Linked DNA regions of Drosophila melanogaster. The gene in region 1 interacts genetically with each later gene. Each region holds a gene or a part of one and is shown in the gene's direction. Other genes may lie near its edges.

What was found.
Region 2: of Dcr-1 (region 1) and dap, changing one suppresses a phenotype caused by changing the other (phenotypic suppression), as found in Drosophila melanogaster (2 studies listed by BioGRID).
Region 3: of Dcr-1 (region 1) and CycE, changing one suppresses a phenotype caused by changing the other (phenotypic suppression), as found in Drosophila melanogaster (one study listed by BioGRID).

What each region holds. Positions count from the first base shown.
Region 1 is NT_033777.3:22,735,052-22,743,003, reverse strand, and holds the start of Dcr-1 (Dicer-1), read left to right. Parts: upstream 1-1,912; 5' UTR 1,913-1,973; coding exon 1,974-4,607; intron 4,608-4,659; coding exon 4,660-6,268; intron 6,269-6,325; coding exon 6,326-7,952. Other genes in the region: CG6985 (uncharacterized protein), read right to left, coding at 7-78, 137-190, 250-849, 908-1,687. UniProt on the Drosophila melanogaster protein: Endoribonuclease which functions in microRNA- (miRNA) gene silencing and, independently of its ribonuclease III activity, also acts in the short interfering RNA- (siRNA) gene silencing pathway.
Region 2 is NT_033778.4:9,710,544-9,716,797, forward strand, and holds dap (dacapo), read left to right. Parts: upstream 1-1,777; 5' UTR 1,778-2,396; coding exon 2,397-2,560; intron 2,561-2,619; coding exon 2,620-3,020; intron 3,021-4,367; coding exon 4,368-4,540; 3' UTR 4,541-5,713; downstream 5,714-6,254. Other genes in the region: sqa (spaghetti-squash activator), read right to left, coding at 5,976-6,254.
Region 3 is NT_033779.5:15,743,570-15,748,494, reverse strand, and holds the start of CycE (cyclin E), read left to right. Parts: upstream 1-1,884; 5' UTR 1,885-2,011; coding exon 2,012-2,040; exon of another isoform or gene 2,041-2,238; intron 2,239-2,851; exon of another isoform or gene 2,852-3,103; intron 3,104-4,925. UniProt on the Drosophila melanogaster protein: Essential for the control of the cell cycle at the G1/S (start) transition. Targeted by archipelago for degradation by the SFC ubiquitin ligase complex.

The sequences.
Region 1 (7,952 bases):
GTTTGTTTAAGTTTTTACTCTCACTTTTCTTGAATAAACCAGTTGAATACAATCCAGACTATCCGATATAGCAGTTTCCTGTAAGGTCACATTGATTTACGCAATTTAAGTTAGTAAAATGTAATACAAATCTCACCTCAAAGAAAACACGGTCAAAAGGTGGCTCACTTTTGGTCCAGTCCGCTAGATTCTATAGGTTATCAATGCAATAGGTGATTTATTAATATGATAAGAATTCGAAGTACTCACATTAGATGCGGTCGGTATAAGCTGGCTGCGGCAATTCTGAAGATCTTCTATAGAATCATCACCCATATGCCCATAGAACTGCAACTCCTCCGGAGAACCTCCGGCTGTGATGAGAGTATATATTTTGGTATCCATTGCTCCAACGGCCAGCAGTTGGTTGGCTTGCTGCCTGGAATTGTGATTATAAATAATTAGGTGTTTGCAGCGAAGAGCTCGAAGCGCCGACAAGTCACTGGTCAAAATCAAGCCAATCATTGGTTCTCCATCGGCAAGAGAATTAAATAAGTTCACTTTTTGGGGACCATCTAGCTGCGCATGGTCCAAACTATAACTCTGACAGTATCCCCTGACCAGGGTGAGGCAATCCTCACTGTTTGCCAAGATGCAGCACTTCTCGCCTCGCTCCGCCACTAAGTGATCCAGCATTACGTGTAGAAACTCGAACTTGGCGGAGTCGTAAAGTCCCATGCTTGGCCAAGGCGGCAGTATGGCGTCCAGTACCTCCATTATTTCCTTAAACACTGGATTCGTACCCAAAGTTTTTAGGAGCACAGGATGATCACATACAATTTGGAAGATTTCCTTCAACGTAGACGATTCCTGAAATACAAGTTTTTTGATTTGTTTATGCATGTAAATTGGTCTAAATCTATCTTACTGTTTTAGATGTTTGTGCATATTCAGAAACAAAGAGTAATATTTTTTTCTGCAGTTCAGCTGGAGTTAATAGACACAGATATTCCGATTGGGTGAACTCCTTGGTAGGGTTTTCTATCTTCAAAGTGTTTTGTTCATAGATTTTCTTTCCCATCGAAGTGCTGGAATCGGCGGCTGCATAGGAGACATGTTTATCTTCTCTATGTTGGCTAATTTCCAAATGCGGTGGAGCAAAGGCATCTGCCTCGCGCTTGATCTTCTTGAGCAGATGAGACCTAACGGGTGCACTGTCAGCAGGTGGTGGCGATGTGTCTGTACAACCATTCTGGGCATCTATTTTTTGGCACCAGTTGGCTATTTCCAACTGGCGCTGAATAAGGCACTCCTCGACGGTTTTAATCTCCTCCTGAATCTCGACATCCTTGCTGCCTACTTCCAGCTGATCGTTCTCCTGAAGTTGCCGCTGCTTAAAGTATGTCATGGTGTCCACAACCTTGCCGGTGTCATCCTTCAATGTTACTATGGATCCCGTGACCACCAGCGTTCCGTTGCCAGTCCACGTTTTGTGCTTTTTGGTGGTCTGATTACGCCAGAGCACATGGAAGATGCGGCTATCTTTGAGGGGATTCTCGCCCGCCCTGAATTCTCGAGGTCCCAGGCTTTGGGTGCCCCCTGAGGTGCCCCATTCGCTGGGTAGATTGTTTTTGGGCCAGGAGCAGGGTGACTGTGGTTCCTCTTTGGGAGGCGCCGCTTCGCTCTCTCGCTTTGCAGCGCGGCGCATGGAAGGAGCTTTGGAACGCCGCTTTATGGTGCTAAAGAAGAGGATTACCGGGTATAGTTCACCGTAAATACATAAGTTAATTTAAAAACTTTTGCTATCAACAAAATATAAATATACAAGGCGCAATCTATTTTCAAGCCACTTGTAAGTGTGGCCAATGAAGTGAACCTCGAAAGGTATTCCGAACCCTGGTCACACTGGCATTCTGCTGGTAGCCGGCTCTGGATGATTTTCTGATAGAAATCTCGCAGAGGCAGTGGTGTTTTTGTGAATCCCCTCAGCCACGATGGCGTTCCACTGGTGCGACAACAATCTGCACACCACCGTGTTCACGCCGCGCGACTTTCAGGTGGAGCTACTGGCCACCGCCTACGAGCGGAACACGATTATTTGCCTGGGCCATCGAAGTTCCAAGGAGTTTATAGCCCTCAAGCTGCTCCAGGAGCTGTCGCGTCGAGCACGCCGACATGGTCGTGTCAGTGTCTATCTCAGTTGCGAGGTTGGCACCAGCACGGAACCATGCTCCATCTACACGATGCTCACCCACTTGACTGACCTGCGGGTGTGGCAGGAGCAGCCGGATATGCAAATTCCCTTTGATCATTGCTGGACGGACTATCACGTTTCCATCCTACGGCCAGAGGGATTTCTTTATCTGCTCGAAACTCGCGAGCTGCTGCTGAGCAGCGTCGAACTGATCGTGCTGGAAGATTGTCATGACAGCGCCGTTTATCAGAGGATAAGGCCTCTGTTCGAGAATCACATTATGCCAGCGCCACCGGCGGACAGGCCACGGATTCTCGGACTCGCTGGACCGCTGCACAGCGCCGGATGTGAGCTGCAGCAACTGAGCGCCATGCTGGCCACCCTGGAGCAGAGTGTGCTTTGCCAGATCGAGACGGCCAGTGATATTGTCACCGTGTTGCGTTACTGTTCCCGACCGCACGAATACATCGTACAGTGCGCCCCCTTCGAGATGGACGAACTGTCCCTGGTGCTTGCCGATGTGCTCAACACACACAAGTCCTTTTTATTGGACCACCGCTACGATCCCTACGAAATCTACGGCACAGACCAGTTTATGGACGAACTGAAAGACATACCCGATCCCAAGGTGGACCCCCTGAACGTCATCAACTCACTACTGGTCGTGCTGCACGAGATGGGTCCTTGGTGCACGCAGCGGGCTGCACATCACTTTTACCAATGCAATGAGAAGTTAAAGGTGAAGACGCCGCACGAACGTCACTACTTGCTGTACTGCCTAGTGAGCACGGCCCTTATCCAACTGTACTCCCTCTGCGAACACGCATTCCATCGACATTTAGGAAGTGGCAGCGATTCACGCCAGACCATCGAACGCTATTCCAGCCCCAAGGTGCGACGTCTGTTGCAGACACTGAGGTGCTTCAAGCCGGAAGAGGTGCACACCCAAGCGGACGGACTGCGCAGAATGCGGCATCAGGTGGATCAGGCGGACTTCAATCGGTTATCTCATACGCTGGAAAGCAAGTGCCGAATGGTGGATCAAATGGACCAACCGCCGACGGAGACACGAGCCCTGGTGGCCACTCTTGAGCAGATTCTGCACACGACAGAGGACAGGCAGACGAACAGAAGCGCCGCTCGGGTGACTCCTACTCCTACTCCCGCTCATGCGAAGCCGAAACCTAGCTCTGGTGCCAACACTGCACAACCACGAACTCGTAGACGTGTGTACACCAGGCGCCACCACCGGGATCACAATGATGGCAGCGACACGCTCTGCGCACTGATTTACTGCAACCAGAACCACACGGCTCGCGTGCTCTTTGAGCTTCTAGCGGAGATTAGCAGACGTGATCCCGATCTCAAGTTCCTACGCTGCCAGTACACCACGGACCGGGTGGCAGATCCCACCACGGAGCCCAAAGAGGCTGAGTTGGAGCACCGGCGGCAGGAAGAGGTGCTAAAGCGCTTCCGCATGCATGACTGCAATGTCCTGATCGGTACTTCGGTGCTGGAAGAGGGCATCGATGTGCCCAAGTGCAATTTGGTTGTGCGCTGGGATCCGCCAACCACATATCGCAGTTACGTTCAGTGCAAAGGTCGAGCCCGTGCTGCTCCAGCCTATCATGTCATTCTCGTCGCTCCGAGTTATAAAAGCCCAACTGTGGGGTCAGTGCAGCTGACCGATCGGAGTCATCGGTATATTTGCGCGACTGGTGATACTACAGAGGCGGACAGCGACTCTGATGATTCAGCGATGCCAAACTCGTCCGGCTCGGATCCCTATACTTTTGGCACGGCACGCGGAACCGTGAAGATCCTCAACCCCGAAGTGTTCAGTAAACAACCACCGACAGCGTGCGACATTAAGCTGCAGGAGATCCAGGACGAATTGCCAGCCGCAGCGCAGCTGGATACGAGCAACTCCAGCGACGAAGCCGTCAGCATGAGTAACACGTCTCCAAGCGAGAGCAGTACAGAACAAAAATCCAGACGCTTCCAGTGCGAGCTGAGCTCTTTAACGGAGCCAGAAGACACAAGTGATACTACAGCCGAAATCGATACTGCTCATAGTTTAGCCAGCACCACGAAGGACTTGGTGCATCAAATGGCACAGTATCGCGAAATCGAGCAGATGCTGCTATCCAAGTGCGCCAACACAGAGCCGCCGGAGCAGGAGCAGAGTGAGGCGGAACGTTTTAGTGCCTGCCTGGCCGCATACCGACCCAAGCCGCACCTGCTAACAGGCGCCTCCGTGGATCTGGGTTCTGCTATAGCTTTGGTCAACAAGTACTGCGCCCGACTGCCAAGCGACACGTTCACCAAGTTGACGGCGTTGTGGCGCTGCACCCGAAACGAAAGGGCTGGAGTGACCCTGTTTCAGTACACACTCCGTCTGCCCATCAACTCGCCATTGAAGCATGACATTGTGGTAAGTACTTGTAATACGAATTATTTAAGATTTGTTAAATACTCTTCTTTAGGGTCTTCCGATGCCAACTCAAACATTGGCCCGCCGACTGGCTGCCTTGCAGGCTTGCGTGGAACTGCACAGGATCGGTGAGTTAGACGATCAGTTGCAGCCTATCGGCAAGGAGGGATTTCGTGCCCTGGAGCCGGACTGGGAGTGCTTTGAACTGGAGCCAGAGGACGAACAGATTGTGCAGCTAAGCGATGAACCACGTCCGGGAACAACGAAGCGTCGTCAGTACTATTACAAACGCATTGCATCCGAATTTTGCGATTGCCGTCCCGTTGCCGGAGCGCCATGCTATTTGTACTTTATCCAACTGACGCTCCAATGTCCGATTCCCGAAGAGCAAAACACGCGGGGACGCAAGATTTATCCGCCCGAAGATGCGCAGCAGGGATTCGGCATTCTAACCACCAAACGGATACCCAAGCTGAGTGCTTTCTCGATATTCACGCGTTCCGGTGAGGTGAAGGTTTCCCTGGAGTTAGCTAAGGAACGCGTGATTCTAACTAGCGAACAAATAGTCTGCATCAACGGATTTTTAAACTACACGTTCACCAATGTACTGCGTTTGCAAAAGTTTCTGATGCTCTTCGATCCGGACTCCACGGAAAATTGTGTATTCATTGTGCCCACCGTGAAGGCACCAGCTGGCGGCAAGCACATCGACTGGCAGTTTCTGGAGCTGATCCAAGCGAATGGAAATACAATGCCACGGGCAGTGCCCGATGAGGAGCGCCAGGCGCAGCCGTTTGATCCGCAACGCTTCCAGGATGCCGTCGTTATGCCGTGGTATCGCAACCAGGATCAACCGCAGTATTTCTATGTGGCGGAGATATGTCCACATCTATCCCCACTCAGCTGCTTCCCTGGTGACAACTACCGCACGTTCAAGCACTACTACCTCGTCAAGTATGGTCTGACCATACAGAATACCTCGCAGCCGCTATTGGACGTGGATCACACCAGTGCGCGGTTAAACTTCCTCACGCCACGATACGTTAATCGCAAGGGCGTTGCTCTGCCCACTAGTTCGGAGGAGACAAAGCGGGCAAAGCGCGAGAATCTCGAACAGAAGCAGATCCTTGTGCCAGAGCTCTGCACTGTGCATCCATTCCCCGCCTCCTTGTGGCGAACTGCCGTGTGCCTGCCCTGCATCCTGTACCGCATAAATGGTCTTCTATTGGCCGACGATATTCGGAAACAGGTTTCTGCGGATCTGGGGCTGGGAAGGCAACAGATCGAAGATGAGGATTTCGAGTGGCCCATGCTGGACTTTGGGTGGAGTCTATCGGAGGTGCTCAAGAAATCGCGGGAGTCCAAACAAAAGGAGTCCCTTAAGGATGATACTATTAATGGCAAAGACTTAGCTGATGTTGAAAAGAAACCGACTAGCGAGGAGACCCAACTAGATAAGGATTCAAAAGACGATAAGGTTGAGAAAAGTGCTATTGAACTAATCATTGAGGGAGAGGAGAAGCTGCAAGAGGCTGATGACTTCATTGAGATAGGCACTTGGTCAAACGATATGGCCGACGATATAGCTAGTTTTAACCAAGAAGACGACGACGAGGATGACGCCTTCCATCTCCCAGTTTTACCGGCAAACGTTAAGTTCTGTAAGTTATTTAAATCCCTTGCTAAGGATCAGAAATAATCCCTAATACATCTTACAGGTGATCAGCAAACGCGCTACGGTTCGCCCACATTTTGGGATGTGAGCAATGGCGAAAGCGGCTTCAAGGGTCCAAAGAGCAGTCAGAATAAGCAGGGTGGCAAGGGCAAAGCAAAGGGTCCGGCAAAGCCCACATTTAACTATTATGACTCGGACAATTCGCTGGGTTCCAGCTACGATGACGACGATAACGCAGGTCCGCTCAATTACATGCATCACAACTACAGTTCGGATGACGACGATGTGGCAGATGATATCGATGCGGGACGCATTGCGTTCACCTCCAAGAATGAAGCGGAGACTATTGAAACCGCACAGGAAGTGGAAAAGCGCCAGAAGCAGCTGTCCATCATCCAGGCGACCAATGCTAACGAGCGGCAGTATCAGCAGACAAAGAACCTGCTCATTGGATTCAATTTTAAGCATGAGGACCAGAAGGAACCTGCCACTATAAGATATGAAGAATCCATAGCTAAGCTCAAAACGGAAATAGAATCCGGCGGCATGTTGGTGCCGCACGACCAGCAGTTGGTTCTAAAAAGAAGTGATGCCGCTGAGGCTCAGGTTGCAAAGGTATCGATGATGGAGCTATTGAAGCAGCTGCTGCCGTATGTAAATGAAGATGTGCTGGCCAAAAAGCTGGGTGATAGGCGCGAGCTTCTGCTGTCGGATTTGGTAGAGCTAAATGCAGATTGGGTAGCGCGACATGAGCAGGAGACCTACAATGTAATGGGATGCGGAGATAGTTTTGACAACTATAACGATCATCATCGGCTGAACTTGGATGAAAAGCAACTGAAACTGCAATACGAACGAATTGAAATTGAGCCACCTACTTCCACGAAGGCCATAACCTCAGCCATATTACCAGCTGGCTTCAGTTTCGATCGACAACCGGATCTAGTGGGCCATCCAGGACCCAGTCCCAGCATCATTTTGCAAGCCCTCACAATGTCCAATGCTAACGATGGCATCAATCTGGAGCGACTGGAGACAATTGGAGATTCCTTTCTAAAGTATGCCATTACCACCTACTTGTACATCACCTACGAGAATGTGCACGAGGGAAAACTAAGTCACCTGCGCTCCAAGCAGGTTGCCAATCTCAATCTCTATCGTCTGGGCAGACGTAAGAGACTGGGTGAATATATGATAGCCACTAAATTCGAGCCGCACGACAATTGGCTGCCACCCTGCTACTACGTGCCAAAGGAGCTAGAGAAGGCGCTCATCGAGGCGAAGATCCCCACTCACCATTGGAAGCTGGCCGATCTGCTAGACATTAAGAACCTAAGCAGTGTGCAAATCTGCGAGATGGTTCGCGAAAAAGCCGATGCCCTGGGCTTGGAGCAGAATGGGGGTGCCCAAAATGGACAACTTGACGACTCCAATGATAGCTGCAATGATTTTAGCTGTTTTATTCCCTACAACCTTGTTTCGCAACACAGCATTCCGGATAAGTCTATTGCCGATTGCGTCGAAGCCCTCATTGGAGCCTATCTCATTGAGTGCGGACCCCGAGGGGCTTTACTCTTTATGGCCTGGCTGGGCGTGAGAGTGCTCCCTATCACAAGGCAGTTGGACGGGGGTAACCAGGAGCAACGAATACCCGGTAGCACAAAACCGAA
Region 2 (6,254 bases), on another chromosome or scaffold:
CAATCAAGTGAATACCTTGAGTGCCATCCAATGCCCGCACGTTCCACGACAATCCTTTAGGATCTGCCCTCATAAGCGGGACACTTGAGAACCGCTTTTCCACCTCTTTTCTCAGCCTTTTTTTTTTTTGTTTTTCCGCGTGTGTTGACACAACCCATATAAAGCCAGGATATCCTGCTCGGGAGGAAATTACTTAAAGGGATCACGAACTCTTCCCCTTTCGAAAAACTCCTTCTTGAGTTGTTTATGTTTTCAGGCATGACTGCCGCCGAACGCCAGTAGAATTCTCAAATTTGTTATAAAGTGTGTAAATTCACGTTGCTTTTCTTTTTGAGGGAGGGTGTGTCCCATAAACAGAAAACCGAACCACAAGGGATCGGATCTTATGGGAGTGGAAAGGAACGAATTATGGATGGATGATGATGCTGCCTAATCGAACGTTCGTCAAACGATCTCTGCCTTTTTTGGGGTGATTGCACTCCGTTTTTTCTTGTTTTTTTTTTTCTCGGGTTTTTGTGTGGAAAGCCGATGGGTTTTCCCATTATTTCGTCGAGTGCAAAGGACAAAGCAAATGATGTCTTTAGTCTACGAATCTGACTTCCAAGGCTTTGTCCCAATTCTTTCCTTCTTATTTAATTGGATTTGTTCAAACAATATAAATCTCGTTTTATTGCCTTTGGTAGTGTAATTTAATTTTTTACGATTTTGCACACGAAAGGAAAAAAACTTTATGAAAATGCAGCACGAAATGAGCAGAAAACTTGCGTTTCACAAAGTGAACCATAACGGAAATTTGAAATACCCAGTGCTATGCAAACACCACAAGGAAATTCGAACTAGACGTGCACATTATTTTACATACATACATACATACATCGTACAAATGTATATTTGGTGGACCAGTGCCCCACAATGCAAGCGCGATTTTCCCCTTGGCAACACGAGGAAAGTGAAAAGAATTGGTGCCCCAAATGCCCCCTGCCACTTCCCTCCGACGACTAAAAATCCAGTTTGAGGCCAAACAAACCAAAACCATAACATCGTTTTTTCGTATCTTCCCATCGCAATCGCAACTAAAAGTACAGCTCCACCGATGCAACAACAACCAAGAAGGCAGCGAACAGAACACACGGATGGAAATGGCAGGGATGGGTAGATGGCGTGCGAGAGAGTGGGAGACATATGGTGAGAGAGAGAGAGGTTGTGGAAGTTGTGACGACTTTCTTGATACGCTCTATGAAGGAACCTTGGACAGTTTAAAATATAATTAAATTGGTTATTTCAAAAACATTAAAAATAAAATCTGGTTGAATACTGTTTACAAATGAACTATGGGCTTATGAGCTGTGAATATTATTTGACAGGAAATAATGAAAATAATGATAATAATAATAATAATAATAATAATGAATACGTATTATATATTGTACTATATGATGATTCCAACAATCAATAATTATATTAAAGCTCATAATATCAAAACTTTTAAACTCAGATGCCTTAGTTAAATTTTGTTAGGAAACTTTTATTTTTCTGAGTATTTTTTATACGTTTGCTATATAAGTTTAAAGAACAATTCAAAGGAAGTGCATTGCTCTTTCGATATGATTAACATTAAAAGCGCATTCTTTTTCCCTATCTCTTTCGCTCCTGCTGCTTTTCCGATCTTTTCGAATTCGAGGGTTGCTACAGAGAGAGCGTGAACCGCTCTGAATTTCCAGTTGGCAACGCCTCTGGTGGTTGTTTGACGTTTGCTTTTGCCCAGTGTTTTATTTATCTTTTATTCGTTTCTCCGAGTTCGTCGAGAGAGGTTCGCTTCGATCGGTAGCGCTATATTTAAAAATCTAGTGCGCAGTGCGCTCATAGCCGAAAAGGTTAACAAACATCGCTGTAAAAACGACTTCAAGTTGTAAAGACAAATATAATACAAAGGTGCTGCCATTGGCAGCTAACTCATACAAAAACTCCAACGAGACCCGCAAACGTTTCGTTTTGTGAGTCGACTAGCAGTGCAGTGTGTTCGAATCGCCATTCAAAGATAGTGACCAAGTGCTATTGGACCAAGGCATTTGTTTATAATTATTTTTATAAACAATTGCAGCGTGAAATTTCACTTTTGAACGCAGCAAGACGTAAAATAAGCTGCAGCACAACGCACACACAGAACACTCGCTCTCCCTCTCACATACACACACGCTCGCGTGTGGAGACCGTGATTTGTATTCGTGTGGAGACTGCCTCTCTCTCTTTTGGGGCTGTCTGAACACAAAGTTTTGGCGCCAAAAGTTTGACAGTTCGCTTTGGCGTGTAATTCGCAAACAAGTGGCAAGAAAAGTGCGTCTCAAAACAGAGTAGAAAACACTAGGGGATCCCAAAAAAATATATATTGACTCAACATGGTCAGTGCCCGAGTCCTGAATCCTGTGATGATCAGTGAGTTCTGCAAGATGAGCAGCAGCCCGGCGGTGAGTCGCAATCTGGCATGCGGTCGTCAGTTGAATCGCATAAAGCGTGACCTCTTCGGTAGCTCCAAATCCGCCGAGGGTACAGCCAACAAAACGTGAGTTTCTATAATAACAGTTGGATTTTGACCAATAGCTAACAATATATCCTCTTTAGACCCTTTAATTCCGAACTGGAGCGCCATCAAGAACTGGCCACGCAAAAATGGGGCTTTGACTTCCGCGCCGGCTGCCCTTTAGCTGAAAAATCACCCTACATTTGGGAGCGCGTCAGCTTCCAGGAGTCGAGCTTCGCCCCAGAGATGTACACCCTAACACGGGCCGCCCACGTACGCCCTTCCGCGGATGCAAGTCCTAGCGACATGGACATTTTGGTCAACGAGCGCTCAGAACGGGAGAACTTTGGCTCCAATCTGGTCAATTCCTCGCTAGAGTCGAACACGGATAATGAATCTTGTTACGACTCCCAGGACGAGTCGCTGGCAATGCGGCTTAGCTCCTCCAGCACGACAAGCACATCCTCCATAGTCCTGCGCAAGAGACAGCCAAAAATCACAGGTGAGTTTTGGGGGATGTTCTACACCATTTTGATCAGTAGAGCTTGACGGTTCCCAGGGTCAGGCTTCATTTCACTTCGATAGACGTTACAAAGTGTTTTCCCATAGCTTTCCTTTTATTCCCTGTTTATTTTCGGTTCTCAGGAGGAAGTTGAGGGTGTTTTTTTTTTTTTTTTAACTTATCAGGCTTGTTTTGTAATCGGACTGATACGATATTATTTTTCAAAATTATCTGTAGAGTAGAGAGTATTATCTAAAAATTTCCGAATATAGTGCTCGAGATATAAAAGTAGATTCGTGCTCTTTGTTTTGCAAACTCGATGAAAACGATTTTCATCAATGATTTTATGCCAAACCAATATTTTGTGCAGGATTTTGTACTTACAATACTAAACTCCATAAGGGGTTGTTTGATTGGTTTTAAGTCCACTCCTTCGCATTTATTGTTTATATTCACGTTTTAGTTGTGGGCGTTTTTCGTGAAACTTAGACCCAAATTATAGCAATTAGCCAATGCTTTGTGGGAGATTTATTTTCGTCCAGAAGGGTAAGTCAAAGCTGACTGCAGCTGTTTCAGCTCCTCATCTCCCTAAACCGAATGATTCTCTTCTGATCCTCCACAACGCGGGGGTTGGTTTCCAGATCGATAGCATGCGGGCTGGCTGGCTGCATCTATAAATGCCAACAGCTGTGACTCCGCTTTGTCTATGGCCTGACCTCATTATAGAAAACGGGAGAGGGGTCTGGGGATCGGCTTTCAATGCACCACCATCCAGAGTCCATGGTCTTATCAAACCTCCCTTTGATTGCTTTGTACTGAGCGTTTTTTATAAATGCCACTAGCACATGCATGTGTAATTATAATCATAAAAAAATTGTGTCTGTTCGGAACATAATAAATGCACCCGCATCGGGTGGTCAGTAGGGAAGCCTTTGAATCCCCCAACGCCTCAACTCGCTTTACTTAAAGTGCACTTTTTGCTGCTTTGGCCAGTAAGCTAGAGCTCATAATTTATGCAGTTATGTAGCACCACCACTCTTGCTTTCACCGGACTACCTGAAAACCGGCTAAAGACCGACTGTCTGGCTGCCGTCTGGCATTTATTTGCTACCCCTGTGCGGATCTGCAACCCTCTGGTAGGGAAGTGCTGCCGTCCACGTGCCACAATCTGGGAATCTACCCGAAACCGAAATCAAAATGTGCAAAAACAGAAAAACAGGCGGCGCCTGCTGTTTAGGGATCAGTGACTTGTGAACAGGGGCAACCGGAAATGCAGCAGCTGACTTTGATTTGGCAATTCCACCTAACACGTATTAATAACACTCGTTTTCCTTCCTTTGTTTACAGAATTCATGAAGGAGCGCAAACGTCTGGCCCAGGCACCCAAGAAACTATCGCCCGCAAAGCGCATGCGCACCAGTTCTCCCAGTTCGTCCGCCACTTCCAGCTCCAGCTCCAGCGGTGGATTTGGGTTGGGGGCACACTTTGGGGCGATGTTGAAGCGGCCGCGCCACAACTAATGCTCCAGATTCGCTGGCCAACCCACCGAATTGCAATTTGTAATTTTATTTTTTACAAGCCACTGCGATTGTGTAGTATTTCCTAATTTTTTATTACGAACCTTTTTATGCAGTGCAAGGGCGACAGTTGCGAATATTAATCGTTAGTCTTCAACTACTCGTAACCAGTAATTAGTTGTAAGTCAACCAGTAAGCTCGAGCTAAATGAAACTTTTTAGATTTCTCTAGTGAGAAATGCCATAAACTAAGTGATTAGTTCTTAACAACAAACAACTATTGAACAAGAAGAGAGAGACCGCAAGCTAAATGGAATTAGTCTTAACTATCTTGAAGCCAACCGAAATTTAACCTTTATAACGATGGAATACTAACTTTACATAACTTTGTGAAATCCTTGCAAATTTCGCCGGCAACTTTTGCATTTGAAATTTGCCGGGTGAACAAAACTCATCCTTTCTCTGCCCTGCCACTTCATCCAAGTACTGAAACTGAGGGGAGAGTAGAATTGAGTTTTGTCTTGCATATTAAGGGCGCCAAAACGATGCCCCAATAAGCCGCATTTCGGCTCATTGCTGCTTTGTTTTTGCGACCTACTAACATTGTAACCAATTCGACCAGTGGAAAACAAAAAAAAAAAAGAGGAATGCCTTTGAATTAACTTCGTCAATTTCTGCACGTTTGGATGCCTTATTTATATGAATGCCGCCGAATGGACACAAATTGTCGCGCTCTCATTTCTTAACCAGTGCTAAAAATGTCTTTTATGATTTGCTATGATCTCTGGGCAAATTATGAAAACAATTTTGCCTGAAACTATCATGTACAAAAACTAGATTATTATACATACTATACACATAGGCAGAGCCTATTCTTCATAACACTTATACAAAGCATTAATTTGTAAGGCCTAACTAAGAACAAATCCAAAGTATTCTCCTAATATTTATATGTATAGACACTCTATGTATAATTAAACCATATTCAACTCATACATCAATAAACAAAACAAAAACAACGCGATTGTCCTGTTTCAAAATTACCAACACATCCGCATTACTTTGGTTGTAGACGTAGCAGTAAAATGTAGTTTACTAAAACAATTTTGTACATTTTATAAGTTAATATTTGTTTTTCTGCAATAAATTGTTTTTGATTTTCTAGTTGGTAGTACATAAATCGCGTTTTTAATTTTTAATTTCATTTTTATAAAATATCGTGGGATGCCAACAAAATTCAATCCCGCGTCAATAGAAACGAATCATTGCTTCAGTTTTATTCAATAAATTAATTTGATTTATTGCTTACATCAAGTACATAAATATTAATTTGTTCCATTCGACGCTTTGTAGATTTACCTATGTGCCAATTAGTTGATCTGTACTCTACATACAAATATATATATCGCATATATACAGAGGGCTGTGGATATGGGCACCTACTTGCCCGCCGCCTTCTCCTCCAGCTGGGCTTGAATGTGGCGTACGTTGTGGCCGCCGCCATTGGGGTTGTGGCGCTGGAAGAAGGCGTTGATGGAGCTCATGGAGCGGTACTCCAGATTGTCGCTGACCCGCCAGTCCACGCTGATGCTCTGGTGACGACCCACCGGATTGCGGATGCGGGTCTCGTTGTATTTCTCCAACAAATGCAGCAGGCAATCCTTGGTGGTGTTGGCCGCCTCCTCCAGATTCACGGTTTGATGAGTGTCCGGCAGCCC
Region 3 (4,925 bases), on another chromosome or scaffold:
ACGGAAAATCCAATTATTTAATATCCGTTAATCGAACAATCAAAGCAAAATTTATATAATACAATTTCTTTTCTAAAACCCCATTTAACATTAAGCACGTTGCACATCTTTTATTATTTTAAATACCCGATTTCCAGATATGATCAGCCCGGAAAAATAGTGAACTAAATATGCAGAGCAGTAAAAGTCAGGCTAACATAGAAGTTATTTTTCAAAATTTGAATAACGCGCCAATAAAAATCCCGCAACGCGATCGGCCGTAGTGGCAACGCCGCTGCCACTAAACTCCGACTCTCTCTTTGCGCCGTGTGGCCAGATGATTATGGCCTTTTTTTTTGCTCTTTCATCGCTCTCTCGATTTCGATCTCGTCACAGTGCCACTTGCGATCATTGTGTTACTTTGGAGTCGCTGAAAAATCGCGGGGATCGCATCGAATTGGCCTTGACTGCCGTGGGGTTGAGCTAGCCGTGAAAAAGACCGCAGAACCACGATAAATCTGTCGAAAAAGGTGACAAAAAGGAGGCTATACTGTCTTGCTGGCTGGCGTGCGTGTGTATGTGTGCGGCGGTGTGTGCAATTTTTTTCATCACCATTCCAGTCCGCGTGTGTTTTTCAGTGTGCAATCCCGCTGAGAATTTGCCCGAATCCTGCCCAACAGCAGGTGAGTGATGCCGGCCAATTGGCCCATTCGATTTGCAGCAGGTGCAGGGTTCAAAAGTTCGTGAACTTGCTTTTTAAGCCATTTCCTTTAGACCCCGTTTTCTCCATCGATATTGTAGCAGTCGAAAAGTAATGGAAAAAAAACGTGAGCAGCGACGTCGACGTTTTTGCCTCTTTCTCTCTCTGTTCCCCTGCCCCTCTCGCGCTCTCTTCCGCGCCTTCTCTTTGCGCGCGCAGCTGTCATCGCTGTCAGCAGCGCGCGCCGACGTCGGGTTCCCGCGCGCGGGAAATCATCAAGTTCAATCGATTCTAATTTGGCCGAATTGAACGGGATTTTCGATTTTAGTGAAAAATCAGATTCTGCGAGTTTTGATCTTTCAATTGGTTATAGGCACGCATGGTTTTTCATTTAGCTTACCTGATTTATAAGCGCTCGAAGTTGGTGCCAAAAATGCTCGAATGTTAATCGATGAAAACAACAAAGTGGCAGTGGTTTGTTTGGTTTCAAAGCAGCGTTACCACCTAGTTCGACCTCAGTCATCTTGTCATATGTTATTTGGCTGCAGTTCATAAAAACTACTAGAAAAGCATATTAAACCATGTAATTTCAGGCTTCTGAAGAATAAATAAATAATTAAAATTTTAAAGATTTATGAATACCCTTCAAGATAAATTTATTTTAACCTTGAATTGATTTTGGAGCGCTTTAAAAATATATTAAAAAAAATAGTTTCATATTAAAATTTAAATATTTATTTTCTGAAGGTCATATTTGAATTAAAATTGGCATATGACATAGAAATAAATCTTAGGTATTTATATATAACCACGATATATCCGACTAAATCCGCCCTTCTGGCATCCTCGTCAGCTGTTTTTCGACCACCCAGCTGACTGGACGTCGAACCTCCAATTGTAGTCTGACTAGCCTGTTGGGGACTGGGGACTCCAATTGCAGACTCCATTCAATAAAATGCCAAGCTTGCCACCAGCGGCTTCATCGCCCCGTCTCGCTTTCTCACGCTCTGTTCTTTGCGCTGGAGATGCTCGCCCCATCTCCGTCCCTCCCCTAGAGTACAACAAAGTTGCCCCCTGTGTTTGTTGCATTTTTTGGCGCTTCGGATCCGCCTGTTTTGGCGCGTTCCTCATGCACACTCGCCGCAGTCGACGTCGCTGCTTTTGATACCCAGTTCCACCAATTTTTTTTTCGGTTCCAAAGCGATCACTTTGCTGCCGCCGCTCCGCTGCTCGTGAAGTTTTTTCGTGGCCGGCGACGACGACGACGAAAAACTCTCGAAAAACGTTGTTCAATTCCCTTTAAGAAAAACAAGTGAAAACACCGGGGATATTATGTTAAGCATTTTTCCGCTTACTAGAAGGTAAAACCAATTGCACAATGGTTTTAGTGGATAAAAGGCAATACGTTATTCAGAGTGGAATAAAATTTATGACGCGTGTGCGGTGACAAGTGTGTGTGGAACAGTGAAGGAAAGAGCGGGAGAGAATGCTGCGTTTGCCGTCGTGTCTTTGCATTTTTTGCTACAAATACAACATCCTCTTATAAGAAAATTGACACGCTGTAGGATTTAACCGTTGCTTTCTGATTGGCAAGAGACGGGGTGTCCAACTACAAATTGTCTCCCCCACACAGTGTTTTAGTGTTCCCCCTATAAGGAAAAGTGTCCTATTAGAATTAAACCGTTATCCAATGGGAACAAATTGGAAAATCCTATGAAATAAATGAAAGCTTCTAATCACGTCTAAAAGTGCACTGAGTTTCTAATGCGTAACGGGAGTTCAGTGAACTATTACAGCTTTTCTTACTATAGAAGGCTTGAGATGCAGCTTATGGTTTACCCTGCTGTTTGGGCCAACTTTCTAATCTTTCTCCCGCCCGAATTGCACTTTTTCCCGCCATTCGCATAGATTTTGGGCGGTAAAACAAAACTGCCCCAGCCCAAACGCCTAATTCGCGCCACTTTGCGTTTCTCCATTCTTTTCCCATGCTCATTTCATTTTTATACGCTTCCTCCAATGACACACACACAAGCACAAACTTGGAAGAAATGCGCTCGCTAAGAGAGAGAGTAAGCTCTCTTTCTCTCGCTCTCTTCCGTTTTATTCCAATCAGAACAGCGAGTCAAGTTATTTTCCCCTTCCCAACACCAACAACAAACAAAAACGTTTTAGTACTGCGCTCTAAAACGGAAAAAAAGAGAGCATTTGACTGCGACGTCGAAAAAATTCGGAAAATCGCCGATCAGTCGACGGACCTTTCGAAAACTTGACGAACACGAAGCAGAGGTTCAAAGCAAAATGGAGTAAACGAGTGAAGAACAAAATAATGAATTATGTCAAAAGTGGCGCAAATATCTTTGGTACACGAAGAAAAAGATTGGTAGTGGCATTTAGCCCTTACCCACAATCTACGTACATACATATGTATGTATGTTTACATATGTAGAATTAATAATAGTATTTTAATTATTGTAAAATCGTGGTTATATTTATTTTTGTGAGTAGTTACTCTATGTACGTGCTCCCAACCAATGAGTGAGCGAGATAGACTGCCAAGTGGAGAATGGAGTTCATTGATATTTCTCGGCGTTTTGCTTTCGCTTCCCCTTCGTCTCCACCTTGCTTCGCGCCATCTTCGTTCTTTCCTCTTCTCCTCTGCTTCCATTTACCTGCCACATTCATTTTGTTGTTGTTTTCTTCGCAATTTTTGCTTTCTTCTTTATTTTTTGCATTCTTTTGACGTTTTTTAGTTTGCGTGTTCGCTTTTTGCGCCGTTAAACTTTTGGAGCGATCGCGGCGGGGGTGTGCGTGGGGGGTGGGTGGTGTATTGTTGATGGGGTGGATTTTTGTATACTTAATTTTTCGATTATGTCATGATCGTGCCGAAAATCAGCCGCTTATGTTTAGATTTGGCCAGTTTAAACCATGGGGAAATAAATTGTTTTTCTTAGAAGTGATTTTGAAAAAAGTAAGAGCATCAAGTTTTTGATGATTCAGTGTCGTGAATTTTGTATATTTTCCCAACATTTTCTTTTGTTTGACCCACCTAAACACTCCTTATATGATCTATTCAAATCCTAGTCAACACCTTTCAATTCTGCTCATGATCCTCCAAGTGCTTGCCACCTTCGAAAGCGGTATGTCATCAAAGGATTTTCTAGACGAGATGGGAACCCAAACTGATCTCGAATATTTTCTCATCATATGTACATACATACGTAAATGGTTATAGGAATCCACACATATCAACTGGCCATATTAACCCGAATTCCTAGTAAAATACCAACAATATTTCTCAATTACAAGTGCGGAATGTTTTACAAATATTACATGTTCTCCAAAAGGATGAGTTGTGAATAGTAACTCCTTAAATAAATGGTTCATATGTACATATGTATGTATATGTGGGCATTTTTTTTTTATAGTCCATACACATTTTTGTCGCTGCGGCAGAAGAATCCGATTCGGAATCGGAATGAGGTGAAGCCGTATGTATGAGGAGCAGAAACAACAATGATAAACAGTTTCCAGTTATTCCCAGACAAACAAAGGATAGTCCGTCCGACTGGCGATTTGTGGAGCGGGGAAGAGACAGGACGCAGGCCACTTGAGCTAGCTGACTCGCTGTGGGCATCCTTTTAGACGCTGCTAAATATAAACTAAATAGTCAATTGAGCGCGTCCCGATGTCCTAACGGCTACTTCAAGGCCATCGATTCTTGGAACTGGAACGCCGCCGTCGCCATCGCCGCCGCTGCCGCTCCATTCAAGAACTTTGATTTGTTCTCCTCCATCGGCTGGGCCGACTTTACTTTCACACGCCGTTTTGCCCAGGCGGCGCTCTTTAGATACCCGGCACACAGATACTCAGATACTCGGACTCACAGATACACTGATGCGCGCAGGCGAGGATCGACTTTCCTGTTCTCGTTTGCAGTACCCTGTAGTTCTGGGTAGGGTGGGCATATGCGACTGAAGCAACACAGCAAACTTGGGCCAATTGACCATTAGAATTTAAACGCATTCATGAGTATGAAAAGGAAGCATCAAAGATCGGGTTCAATTCAATGATGCTTATAAAGCAATCTTCGTGTATTGGTTTAAACTTTTAGTAGTATTATTTATAGTTTCATATTATGCAAATATGATTAGGCTTTCGATTTGAGAAAATATCTTCCTAATGAACTTCACCCTCTTACCCTATCAGCATTATGTAGCTATGTTGTTACACAACTCCTGCAGACTTT